Medicago truncatula: one gene and its partner. The protein of the gene in region 2 interacts with the protein of the main gene of each other region in a pairwise test. Links are inferred from orthologs where the notes say so. Each region holds a gene or a part of one and is shown on either strand. Other genes may lie near its edges.

What was found. The genes of interacting proteins can lie anywhere in the genome.
Region 1: the proteins of axial regulator YABBY 4 (region 2) and protein TIFY 6B interact in binary tests that used the Arabidopsis thaliana proteins (3 or more experiments, as listed by UniProt). The link is inferred for Medicago truncatula from reciprocal best matches to the Arabidopsis thaliana genes INO and JAZ3.

The regions. Positions count from the first base shown.
Region 1 is NC_053047.1:33,188,293-33,195,551, forward strand, and holds the start of protein TIFY 6B, read right to left. Parts: upstream 3,056-7,259; 5' UTR 2,876-3,055; coding exon 2,788-2,875; intron 125-2,787; exon of another isoform or gene 1-124. UniProt on the Arabidopsis thaliana protein: Repressor of jasmonate responses. Jasmonoyl-isoleucine (JA-Ile) specifically promotes COI1-TIFY6B/JAZ3 interaction. Acts as a negative regulator of MYC2 function. Feed-back regulated by MYC2.
Region 2 is NC_053046.1:14,608,322-14,615,767, reverse strand, and holds axial regulator YABBY 4, read right to left. Parts: upstream 2,684-7,446; 5' UTR 2,593-2,683; coding exon 2,512-2,592; intron 2,391-2,511; coding exon 2,256-2,390; intron 2,141-2,255; coding exon 2,011-2,140; intron 1,905-2,010; coding exon 1,856-1,904; intron 1,766-1,855; coding exon 1,690-1,765; intron 1,535-1,689; coding exon 1,430-1,534; intron 795-1,429; coding exon 717-794; 3' UTR 521-716; downstream 1-520. UniProt on the Arabidopsis thaliana protein: Essential for the formation and the abaxial-adaxial asymmetric growth of the ovule outer integument.

The DNA.
Region 1 (7,259 bases), on a different chromosome or scaffold from region 2:
AAAAGCACAATGATGATTATATTGACAATGATCTAAGTTACTAAGAAATTTTTGTTCATCAAGCTTTCTAAGATCACAAAGTGTTGTAAACTATACTTCAATATATATAGACACATATGAATATGATATATGTCACACAAACCTATATTTCATCTAACCCATCAAAATAAATAAATAGAAAAACTTTAGCAACAGCTATGAAATAATAAAAAAATTAATCTACCATAAAAATATTTAGAAGATGCTCTTGTAGAACTTTCATCACAAGAATCCAGAGTCCATGTTTTTTAAAAGATTATATTACATATTATATATAATCATATCACATGTGACCTTGTTACTTTGTTATTAGTTTATTTTCATTGTTATCTAGGTAATAACTGGCCAGGTACGGCATATAAATTTAAAATACAATAACAAAAGTAGCAAGAAAAAAAAATTGTAATTCCTTATGAAGCATAGTATTATTTAATCATAGTCCATCATCATATAATATAATTATATAATGTACTAAATGGTACTATTCTTAGTAGCTTGCAATAATTTATGATATGACTTTGTTTTTATTAAATGTTTCCTTTGTATATGAATATTTTATGTGCACCTCTTTGCAACCAGCTTGTCACTAACATAAAAAAAATGTTATTTATTTCTCAAGGCTATGCATGCATCATCAATGCCCATGTTAGACCTTAGATTTAATATTAAACATGGTGATTTGTTTTTTTTGTTTGTTTATATACATTGATAAAGGCACATATTTTTATTCTTTTTAGACTCTCATTCATACATCAGGATCCACGATATTTTATATTAAAAAACATACGATAGTGGTATGTATTTCTTTAAGCATTTAAATATTTATAATTTTGCATCAAAATCAAGAAAATGAAGGACCACGTTATGCAATAAAATATATAAAGAATAAAGAGCACCACCAAACAACCAAGAGCACGTTTTCTAACATAAGTTTTGTAACCAACCATCTAACCAAAAAAATATAGCATTTACAATTTATAATTTATTATTATAAGCAAGAAATGTGTCTCACACTCACATTGACACGTACACCACATTGATCAACACTAACACATAGAAATTAATAATAATTTTATAAAAAAATGGTTTCCTTCTAAAAAAAAACTAAATGAATTTTGTAAAAAAACAAATTTAAATGAAATGTTTTATTTTTAAGAGGCAAAAATGAAACTTATATCAACAACAAAGACTTTGTTCCTTCCGCACAAGAAGTGCTAGAAGAGAACGATCATAATTATACAAGAGTTTAGTCAAAAGACTCAGAGACAAAAAAATCAAACACATGTAGCCTACACCCAAACAAAGCAAAGGACTAGCAAACCAACTATGAATCCCGAACACATAAACAATGTTAGCTGCCTTCATCCACCAATATGAATGACTTTGAATTTGAACCTTTTCGACCAATTGATACATAGAATTAAATGAAATGTTGATGCTATATTTGCTTCTAAATTATTTAAAATAAAATTATACTCTTAATTTTTCTATAAATAATCAGTCTTAAGATTTTACATGAGCTTAACTTTATATTCATTTATTTTATGATCAAATTTAAATAAATAAAATGTAATATTTATGTTTGAGCTAAAGATAGATTAAAAAAAAAAGAAAAAATGACATAAACCTAATCAATGAAAAAGAAATAAAATAATAAATATTTATAATAAAACAGTTTTTATCAATAGGGTAAAGTTATAAAAAGTGTAAAATAAAAATATCAAGTGACCCACATCTATTTTATTTTGACCCTATATCACAACACACTTTTTTTCTTTTTGATGCAATGGGTGGTAATGTATGTAATTCAAACTTATATGCACATGGACTATATATCAACTAGCTCAATAATTGTGGCTTCCCTCTTACAACACAGTTGCAAGTTGCTATTCCCTACCACACATCACACATCAACTTTGAACAATAAATACCACACATCAAACATCAACTTTGAACCATAAGTATCACATGGCCCTAGCCATGTGCTAATATAAGATTTTCCTTGCAAACATAAGTAGCTGTATGATATATACTTTACCTTATTAATTCAATTATGTAGCATAGGAGGCTGCAAATTGCAGCTAAAATGTCTTTTAACTAGACTAGATAACCTTAAACAAGTTCACCCTATGAAACCTTAAAATTTTTGAACTTAATCTTATCCATTAAAGGAAAAAAAAGCAAAAGAACATAAGGCTACAAATTCATTCTTCTCTTCCTTGTTCTTCATTATTATATTATTATCAGGGAAATATGTTAACAAATATTTTAAAACATTGTTTAAACAATTAAAAGTAGTAATTTTAATATAAAAATTTGTGTAATTATTATTTTTACATGTGTTCAACTTATATTTTTAAGATAAAAAATTTTATAATAAAATTGTTAAACAATAATACCCTTAGGACACTTGATAGCATAACCCTTATTATTATCTACAAGTTTAAGCTAAATTTTCTTCATTTTTTCATCTTTGAAACAACAAACAAAAATTCATTCAAAACATAAAACTTAAATCCCCATGCATGATTAAATAATAAATAAAAATATAAAACTTAAATCCCAAATATATATATATATATATATATATATATATATATATATATATATATATAAAAGACAAAAAAAAAAAACAGCTGTTTTAGTTAATTTAATGAAAATGCAAAATTTTCAAGTTTCACATCGCCATAATAATAGGTGTTAGTGCAAAATATTTCATGGAAAATAGAAAAAGATGAAAATTGATACCTTGGTCTTTTGGTTTGTTGGAAGCATCTTCTTTCATGGTAGTCCATGGACTATTTTTGGAACTGAAGCCAAGGAATTCTCTTTCCATTTGTGGTGAAAAAATCAGATAACAACAAATTTATTTTTCTTCAAAGTTGCAGAAAGAATAAAACTTTGACAAGTGCAAAGACCAGGCAGAGAAAAGTGAAGTGTTTGGTTGTGGTGAATGGAGAGAAAACAGAAAGCAAGAGAGTAGAAAAAAGTAGTAACAGAGAGAGAACACAACAGAAATATATATATATATATATATATATATATATATAATAATGAACATAAAAGAATAAAATATGCAAATTGTTTCCTTAAAAAAAAGGTGCAAATTGTTGGATGTATATCAATCTAGTCTATCAAATTATTATATAATAAATTGACAATTTTTTTCTTTAAAAACATGCTTTTAAGTGAATAATAATATGACACCATTAAGTTGGTAATTTTTGTAAGATTTAAAATTAAGTGAATAATAATATGATGCATTTTCCTTCAAAAATTTATAATATGATGGATTTGATAACAAACGCAGGGCTTCTGTATGTTAGTTTAATTAAGTAAATGATTTGTATAAATATTTAGAATTTACTTTTAATCCATACAAATTAAAACCATTTTTTTTTTGTCCATGTAACATTTTTCTTTGGCATTTTGAAGTACTAAAATTATTGAAGAAAATTTTAGAAAGACGAAAAAAATGTTGGTGGAAATTTTACGAAGACTAAAAGTCTTGACAATAATTCTACATGGACTAAAAAATATTAAATTTTATTCTGTAGTGATTAAATTTGAAGTTTTGAATATTTATAAAAATCATTTAGTAATTAACTCAAACAAAAGTTATAGTAGAGTTATTTCTGTAAAGAGGAAACTAAATATTAGGTTGGAAACAATGAAAAGACTCATTGGAAACGTGAAATACATGTGAACCGTTGGATGAAAAGATAATCGATTATGCAGGATGGTTGTTACTGTTGATAGACATAACAGAAAGTGAGTAGACATCTTCAACTTGGTTATTTTTCTGATTGCATGTGTTTTTTATGGTAAAACCAAACATCAAGTATCGTACTTAAATTACAATCTTAAGTAGCTTTTTTAATTTTATTTTTAAACGGCAAAATTTTATAAATAAACATCCTTACACAAGATAAATAGAGACAGACAAGATAAAAATACAACAAACAAAGAGTGTTGCATATAGACTGAACAATCAAAAGAAAACTTGTACATCTCAGACATAAAAACCACCAATAGAGATATTATCCAACCGAGGGATACCACCAAAACTCAATACAAAAACTAACCATCAACACCAAAATCAAAGTCTAACCTCGACACACCAACAAAAACAAAAACTTCATCCAAATTTTCTACTCGCACCAAAACTCCTCCAAAAAAAAAACCCTGACCAAAACCCTATAACCACACCTCATATGAGCCCAAGCAACCGACACACAGCCTGCCAGAGAAAACACCAAGCAAACAAAAAAAACTTAAGTCTAGAAACAGAATCCTGATCTCAAAGCAAAAGTGATCGCTCCACAAGACTCCATAAAAGAAATCACTAAATGCATCCCTTGAAACTCCAGTACACTGGAATACACCATAATATCCCAAAAACTTGAAACTAGATACTAATTCCTGATCTCCAAGCAAAAGCGATCGGCCCATAAGAATCATGAAGACAAATCCCTCAGACAATCGACAGGTGGAAGCGGTGGCGCAAACATAATTAGCTCGAAAAAGAGTCCAACTCAAAGTCAATCCAAATATAAACACTCAAAATAAAAAAAAATAAAAAAAAACCCAACAATGGGAAAAGAGCTAGTGGCGGGGATGGACCCAGTTTGAAGGTCACTACAAGCAGACAATGGAAGACAAACAAAAGAAACCCCCCCCCCCCCAAAAAAAAAAAAAAAAAAAAACCAACCCACAAACTCGTCATCACCATCACCACAACTAAAACTTACAACCACACACAAAATCAACATTAACATTCTCACTCCCAAACCAACAACATCAATCTCCACGTCTTGCTCAGCTCCCTAATTCCTCGAACAAGAGAAAAAGAAGATAGGTTTGGCGAGCCTAATCTAACGAACTAGACATTGGTACTTTAACATATTTACACTTGTGAAACTCACCAGCCACCGAAAATTTGGATCTCGATTCAAATCTACCATCACAAACTATAACGAACCACCATAAGCACCGCCACAAACCACGACGAGATCCATCATAAAAACCAACACCACCATGAACTACAAACCACCATGAACCAACTGCCATGATAAACTAGAAGCCACAAACACGCATGTGGTGTGGGTTTAGAACCACGTCTGTGGGTTACAAGCCCATCTGGGTAACAGTGGTACCTCCATGAAGAAGCGCAAGTATCATATGCTGCCGAAGCTACATACAATCTTAGGTAGTAAAATTACCAAGTCGTTACTATCTTGACTATCAAGATGTTACCAAATATAAAAGATACATGCAAAATTTAAAATGTATTTTCATATTCTAATACATCCTTGTAATTGAAATTGGAAGTTGCCGAATGTTGAGACTAGGTAAAAAGTCATCAAAGAGTTGCCGTGGAAAGTGCTCAATGAAGATGTCGACTATTTCATATCATGAAGGAACATATAACACACAAACTTGGCCACAAGTAATTTTTTTGAAGAATGAATATCAATCTCAATGTGCTTAGTGTGTTTATGTTGAACGATATTACCATAGAGATACACGACAATTATGTTATCACGACATACTAATATAACCTTTGAGACATGACAATGTAATTCCAAAATAATATTCCTAAGTCAACATTACTCAGATACTACTTTCATGACTCCTCAATATTCAGCTTCAACATAGGATCAAGACAATATAGGTTGTTGTTTGGTAGACAAGAGATGAGGTTGTCCCCAAGATATACAGAAAGACCTTATGGTGTCTAGACATTCATCCCAATCTGCATCAGTATATGTGATGAGCTTATAAATGGAGGAAGGATATAGATGGAGACCAAAATCAAGAGTACCCTAAATATATCGAAGGCAAACATATGTTTTGTTTTTATATCATGCATAAACAAACACATTTGTAGCGTGACATAAGAGATACATAGTCTTGTAATGGTCAAGTATTGTAGGGCTCCAACAAGTCTACTATACTCACTTGGATCATGATATGGGTTGCAAAAAGAGACACTATGTTCCACTTGTGTGTCCACTAGTGTAGCAGATGGTTTGCAAGAAGCCATACCCGCACGCTCAATATTTTCCTCGACATATTTCTTTTGTGACATAAAAATACTTCTTGTATGTTTGATAACAGAAATACCGAGAAAGTAACTAAGAGGACTCAAATCCTTCATAGAAAATTCAGAGCAATTTACATGTCATGGATTATTGAAGGAAATATGAGGACGCGGCTAGAATGATATCATCCATATAGAGAAGGATATAAGCTATATCATTACCTCAGTGGCAAATGAATAAGGAATGATTGGAGATGTTGTTAGAGAAACCCAAGTTAGCAACGTAGTGGGTAAGTCACTAATATCGAGCACAAGGTGTTTGTTTAAGTCCAAAGAGTGACTTATTTAGCAAGAATGCATAATCATGATGTTAAGGATTGTGAAAACCTGGTGGTTGATACATGTAGACAGTTTTATCAAGATTACCTTGTAAAAATGTGTTCTCGACATCTAATTAGTGAAAACACTATGATTAGTGATATAATAACATTGAGAACCATCCGAAAAGTGGATGCTTAGACTACGGGGTTGAAGGTTTCCCTATAATCAATACCATTTTTTTAACTGACCCCACTACCTACAAGATGGGATTTGCACCTCTTAAAGGATCTATCATATATATATATATATATATATATATATATGTCTGACAGTCCACAAACTTTGAATAATATTAGCATTAGATGGGCATGGCATTAAGTCCCACGTCTTATTTTCAATAAGAGCGTCATATTCTTCTTTCATGGCCATTTTTAAATTATGATCATGTAATGCATAAATGGGATTGATGGGCAAAGAAAAATTAGATTTTGGAGATGAGGTATAAAGATTAAAAAGTTAGAGGCTTAAAATTTTCATGTTGTGCTCTGGTGGTCATTTGAGGTGAGTGAGGTGGGTATGCGTTGAAATTATTTAGTTAGAAGCTTGTGGTGAGGTCAGTTATGGGGAAGGGCTGAGAGTCTGTGTTTGCGATTGCATTTGTTCAGAGGTAGGACTCATAGTAATGGTATTTACGAATGGAGTATTTGTGGTCGATGGAGGAGCATTTACAGTAGGGGTGTGTTGGTTTGTTCTAGCAGTGCTTTGATGAGGATAAGTTTTATGGGAGTTAAGAAAGGATGTGCGCTTGTATCCAAAAAATCATAGTTAGATGTTGAAGGAGCGCTGAAGGTAGAAA
Region 2 (7,446 bases):
TTTTTTAAATGTTTAAAAACATATATGTTCTTTTAAAAAAATCTTTCTATTTTTACTATTTATTCATGTGTAATTTGCTAAAAATAAATAAATTAAATATAGCCCCACACATTTTTGATTGTTTAGTAAGTATGTTATTGATGCGAAGTAATCATCAACTTATCCTTTTTAAAAAAGTATTTATCAATTTTATTTATGATTAAAATATGAGGGAATACTTGACGGACCACTAATGAAGTCTCCTCTCTCAATTACATTTTTTCCAAACCACAAGACTTGAAACCAAAATTTGTTTAAGAGATATATGGCCTTCACTTATAACAACCCTGGACGGTCTCTTAATTTTTTTTTTCTAGTCAAAATGATTGTAGAGGTTTGGCTTATATTTAATTTCTTATTATAGTTTTTCTTTTTTTTGTAATTATAATTTCTTATTATAGTTTAAGACATGAGAACTTGGTAAACATTTCTTTGACCCTGAATACTACTAATTCATGGAGTTGATAACAGATAAAAGGTGTCAGATAAAATAGTCAATTATTAAACAAACTCTAAAGTGTCACAAATTGTTATCTCTAGATTGAACCTACTTAATTCATGTTTCATTACCAAGACAAGAGCATCTCTTTTTTTCAGAAGGAAAATGACTTCATTAGATGCATGCAGCTTTCTTCCTTGTCATATATGCAGAAGAGTGAGCTTTCTTATTCATTCATTCACTCAAATGGTGTCCTTTCCAAGATGGAATTTCTTGGTACCTTTCTTCCACGGAATCCTTGTTCTTCTTCATTCACCTGAAAAGTGATATTGATGCAGTCATTAAAATTGTCAAGTACTGCTAGATTACAAAAACAGGTAGGGTTTTCTATGGAAATTACATGTCATGAAAGTGACTTGCTAGACATAACAAGATTATTTTGTGTCATTTTATATTAGTATTATCCTGTTGTACGTATTTATTTATTTATTGAAGTGTCATATTGCTACTTTAGCCTCTCTTATTCAAATGTACTCTTGTTGACTCATTGCTTCTAGTACATAATACATAAAATTTTTTGACTAATTTTGACTTATATTTAAAACTATATATATATATTAGTTTATAATTCTTGGTAATTTTTGACAGTCAATAATATAATATAATGTATTTAGAATCTGCAAGAAGTTTCTAGTTTGGTGGATCAATGTCATGGTGAATGGAAACCAACAACATGAGGGTATAAAGTCTTTACCATTGAATGCATGGACTATACCTTTACTATTCACCATGTGATATAAAGAAAGGGACAAGTACCACTATAAATGCACACAGTGCCAAACCTAAAGAATCTCCTACTTATAGCAAGTTTTAATAAGCTAAAATAATTCTTAAATGTGAATTATAAGAAAACAACTTAGATAATTAATCTTCAAATAATTATGTTTTTACCTCTGCTTCATTGGGGTCCACTTGGGAGTCAAGATCCACAAATTGATCTGTCTGGCTACAGCTCTCTTCATCTCCTTTGCACTGAGTTGGGGGGCAATTAGCCCACTGAAAATATATATAAAAAAAAAATCCAAGATTATGAATAATTCACCAATCTTATAAAATTTCCTATAGTTTTAAATGAGTGGAACTAATAGCTAGTTAGTTTTGAACATGGTTCTGCAATATATAATCATGTGATTTTGAAAATTAGACCTTACATTTTTTGCAGCTGTACTAAAAGCTTCCTTGTGAGCCATATCAGGGTTTTTAGCCTTTAGCCTTTTAATCTCTTCTCTGCATTAAAATTATACTCAAAATATTAGAATTAAAAAATTTACAAGTTTATGATAAGTGTAACTTTTGTTAATGTGACATATTAATTACTTGATGAAGCGGTTATAAGCTGATGGTGTTCTTTGTCTCTTCTCTGGTGCTGCATAGAACAATGATTCATTCATCAAATAAATAATTTTTTTTTATTGTATATACTATATACTAAACTTGCTTCAAACTCAATAAGTTATCTTCTTGTTACATACGTTTGTTGACAACATTGCTGATTGGAATTACATCATCTTCCTCACAATCAGAATAAGTCATCATGGATGCACTAGTATTACTGTTCAAAGTCTTGTTTGCATCTTCATCTGGACTACTACTTTCTTTTTGCTGCATAGTGAAAATATTCACAAATAGTTTTTTAAGTTAATATCTAGTATATAATACAAATACCTAACTATAAGAAAATAAACAAAGTATTGGAAATGTGACTTTAACTTATGACCTCAAGATGAGTAAGAGATGCTAAAAGGTGGAAAGGGACAAAAGAAGCTTTCATCATGTTAACAGATAAGAGACTTGTGCAGTGACCACATCTTACTGTCACCACCATTGTCAAACTGCTGCATGGAACACTTACCTGCATCACACAATTGAAATGAAAACAGTTAAAAAACAAAAGAAGAAAATGAAAACAAAAAATAGGTATTGAAAGTAAATATCATGAACTTAAGAAGTGCAATTAGAAAACTCATGGTTACCATTAAAATGGTATTGCAGAATCCACATTGTACATAGCATATTTGTTCCGGAAGATCAAAAAGATGGTTTAGTGTTGACATGAGTGTGTTAATGTGTAGCTAGGTGAGTCGGTGTTGGTGTGAAGAGAAAAGGAAGAGAAATAAGGGATATAAGATATGAAGATGTAATGTAACTCTTTTGACACAATGAAGCATTTATAGTTGAAGTTGAACACTCATAATCAATCATCTTCTCACTTTAATGATTTTTGAGATAATGCTGATTTTCATTCCCGGAAACCACTCCAACATTGCTAAGGATGTACGTGGTTTGTTTGTATTTTTTATTTTTGAGGTCTACTAATCCTACAAAACCGGCTTGTAAGGTGACGACTACCCATATCCACAGGTGACGATTGTCCACCGCTTATAAACTCATTTTTAGACTTTATCTTATCCAATGTGCACTCTTAATACACACTCCTCACACCGACAACAGGACGTCTGAAGCGTAACTCGGGTGATTTGGTAGCGGTGACCTAATAATAAGTGGCCTGGTGAATTTTGGATAGACTCCGATGCCATATTAGAATTTGGGATACTATAAACATGTTTTTCAAGCCTTAGCTCATTCACGGACGAACCCAAGAATAAATTGTTAGTGAGGCTAAAATTTTTGGCAAAGTAAATTATACTAAAAATAACAAACACTTATGTATTAGTAGTAAGTAACAATTAAATTTACAAAGAAAATAGTCTATCACCCATTTGATGAAAATGAGCTAAAATAACACCTTCATCTATAAAAGTTACAATACGATCATTTAACTATTAACCATTCATTCTCTCAAAAAAAAAAAAAACTATTAATCATTCATGTTTTTAGATAGTTACACTCTTAACATATTTCATAACTCATAAAACACGGTCAACACTTGCAGTTGCCACTGGAAAAACCAAAGCTAATTTCATAAGATTATACACCACATCAAATGCAGTGCACTTGTTTATTTTTACAAACTTTGCACAAAGGTCTGAAAGTCCTTTCAACTTTGTAAAATTGAGGCCACCTCGAACATTTCTAACATAATTCTGAAACTAATGGTGCACCACCACTTCCAGCACGTCCATAAAATCATTTTGATAAAGCTCAATCATTCTTAATAAATTGTACATATCAAAAGTTATAAATAATGATACTTGACTCAAGCATACAACACATTGTAAAAATTCAATACTCTCTTCATTAAATCTAGCGTTGAACTCCTACTATTGTAAAAGTTTAATATTTTTTAAAATAAATTTGAGTTGGACTAGTGTTGCTATAGTCAGACCATACCATAACGTAGGTCCTCCCATAAGCTCATTCAAATTAGGGCTCTTAACAAATTTAGGAGTAAAATTACAATCACACCCTTGAGAAGAGAGTTTATGTTAATTTCACCTATTTGGTTGAATGTTATTATTATAATAACTGGCAAACTTCTCCATTGGTTGCAGTGGCTCAAAGTTCTATGGTACTTCGCAGAATGAGTTAAAGTACTTGTTTGTTTCATGTGTTGTTTTCTCTTTTATTGACACTTATAACTCTCCAAGCCTTTTCTCTGTCCTAGAAGAAAATGAAAGTGCAGAAATTTTTTCTATAATAGAAAGAGGTGTAAGTTTCCACAAGGGCACGTAGGAGAAGGTAAAGAAGCATCTTATTAGGATTTGTCTTTCATGAAAGACAGCAAAACAAATTGACCAATGAAAAAAAGGATCCTCCCCACTTTCTGTGCTCTCTTTAGGCATGTGTCACTTCTCATCTATTTTTGCTTCACATTTGAGTTATAGGATTCTGCATTAACCATGTATTATCCATATCATTCAAAACCTATTTCTGTTGTTTCCTTAACTCTCTCCCATGTGATTGCCCATGAGTTAGATTTTGGAGGGTCAATAATATTCATTCAACAAAATATGAAAACCAAGAGCAAAAGTTCTTTGATTATATATGATTTATGAAAATATATTTTGTGAATCAGCCGATCCTTTTATTGATAGTTTTTTTTTTTATATATATTAAGAATTCCGTACACATGAATAGAAGGCAAGCCGACAACAAACTGCGCTGCTAGGCAGAGTTAAAAATGTCTTTTATATTTCTTGTGTTTTAAAGAGTTACTGATCAATTCAATTGTTTTTAGAAAAAGTGCAAGCAACGCTCTATCTTTTATGGAATAAACCATCAATTTGATCCCTATATTATCACACTTTTGTCAACTTAATCCACAAACTATAAAAATATATTAAATAATCCCTAAATTATTATTAATCCTTCAAATTAGTCCCTAGTTTCCTTGAGAAATAAAAGAGAATGATAATTCAAGCGAAGGAATTAGTCCATCATTTCCTTGTGTTATAAGATTGACAAAGAGGTTTAGCTTCTAACATATCTTAAAGTGGATTAGATTTTGTTGCATGAGGTCATTGAATTAAAGGGGGGTGGGGTTTATAATATGAAAATTGCCCTTGCTTCTTTAATGCAAACAACTAACATTTGCAATCTTATTCCTATAAACCTAGGGCCTACTTTATAGGGTGACTAGGACTAAGTTTTTCTCTCACAAAGAACCACATTTGTGAAACTTCTTTACGTGTTATGATAAATAGCTATGTCCCACAAACAAAATGAACGAAAGTTGTGAGGTAGGTAGGAATCAAAAACCGTGAATATACCTCTCTTATTGCTGCATTATTATTTTTAAGTCAATTTTTGTAGCCTATTATAAAGATAAAGATGTTATTGGCTTCTTGCAATTATAATCTCATTTATTTGTAAGCTCCCTCTCCATTGTTTATTTTGGACTTTTCTGTTTTGAAAATTTTGTCACAGCCCTAAAAGATTGTGTGTTTGTTCCCTTGTGCATTAATTATAACCACTCCTACTTTAGAGCTTATTTATAACTCGTTAGAGGAGTTTTGGAAATCACTTTCATGGAAATTGCAAAATCACATAATGATACAATTCTTATGAAAATTATTGGGCTCTGATTTTCCTGAAAAAACAGCAATATTAGGGTGAATATGATATTTGTCAAAATCAAAGTGATTTCCTCTTTATTTGAATAAGCTTATATAAGGTCATGATTATCATGAAATATATTGTGTATATATCACAACTCACAAGAGTTAGCCACATTTTCAAACAAGAAAACAATTGTGTTGATCACATAGTCAATAATGTATTCTCTCTATCTAATTTTACTTGGTGAGATTCGCTATCTCGTTGTATTAAACAATTCGTAAATGAGGTAGTCAATTCTGGAGATAAATAAAAAAAGAAATCTTTATCGGTTCTACCTCCTTTTTTTACAAAGAGAATGAACCTTTTTATCCAAATAATACCTATGGATACATAAGAAACCTATGGAATCGGTTCAATCGCAACTTGAAATATGTAATTCAAAAGTAGAAAGAAAAAATAAATTATCTTAATCATAGACCTATAAGAAAATACACGATCAAAGGAGAATTTATTTCTTAATCGTCAGAATCTTCTTTGTTTTAGATTTCGTTCATATGTTTTTATTTTTGCTTGCTTTTGTTATGACGCACTCTTTTTCTCTTCACCAATGTTTTATCTCACTGGATTTTCTAAAGTTTTTGGGAGGCAATTGTATTGGCACATCTTTGATTTTTGGGTTTTTGTCTAGTATCCCAAGAACTATTTTTCTTTTGTTTATTTTAATATACTTAACATTTCCCATTTAAAAATGTGACTTATATTATATTTTTGTTTAGAGGATATTGCTTATATTTATAAGCACTTTTTCTGCAAAGAAATCTTATATTTAGTAAAAAGGAGAATGTTTTTATATTATCTTTGAGAATCAAAGGGAAATATAAGAAGCTTTTTCGCAGATACATGGTAGCATCATTCTATCCAAAGATAGCAAATTTTGCTCATGCTCTAAAAGAAATAAAATTTGTCTTCTTTCAATATATATTACCATATATACACCTCAATTCCAATCTGTTATTTCACAATAGGAATGCCTTGGTGTCTTTGACTCACTGAAACTTTTGCTATGTACATGAACCTGAGAAAACTATAAAGTGCAAAGGTATGCACCGATTTCATGGCATGAATTACTAAAATGAGAAAGAGTAAATTGAGTTAGCTTTTAAGGCACATATCAGAATTGAATAGACTATCTCATAATTGTGAGATGTAGTAGTTCAACCTCATGGAAAGTGACTAAAAATATTTGAAAGTTTTTTGAAGTTTGAACTAAAATTGGTGAGTCAAATTTCAGATCATTAAACCTTGTAGAGTGACACATTGAGGTGTCACTGTTGTCAATTCAAAATGAATCAAAAGTTTCCAACTACTCAGTTGTCAATGCATGCACCTTACTTTGTCAGATGCATACTATTTGGATTGGATTATAAAGATAAAATTAAAGAGGTTGTATACTATTTGGCCTCAATTAGATTTAGTTAAATTGCAGTGTCCATTCAAAAAAATTAATGTTAAGTTGTGATGTAATGGAGTTGACAAAAAGGTTGTTGGTTTTGTTTATTCCTTCTAATTCATGTTTTTGTTTGCATGTGTTTCTTTTTCAATAACAAAAAATTTATACTATTAAAACCAGCATTTTATACAAACACAAGCAAAATCACAAACTTAAATAATTTATATTATTAAACTTCACTATCTATTTTTTAAATTGTTAAACCCAATCAATTTTAATGGTGACGTAGTGAACTGTAATAAAAAAAAAAAAAAAAAAAAGGTGAGATGGTTAATATAGCCGAATAACATTCGTTCAATGACCAAGTTTCTAATTCAAACCTAGATCACAACTAGTACTAGTAAATAATTAGGTTATGAAAACTACTTCTAGTCATGTTTTGTTGTGGTAAATGTTATGGTCATTTTGATGGTTCGGTGGCCGGATGATCCAATGTAAT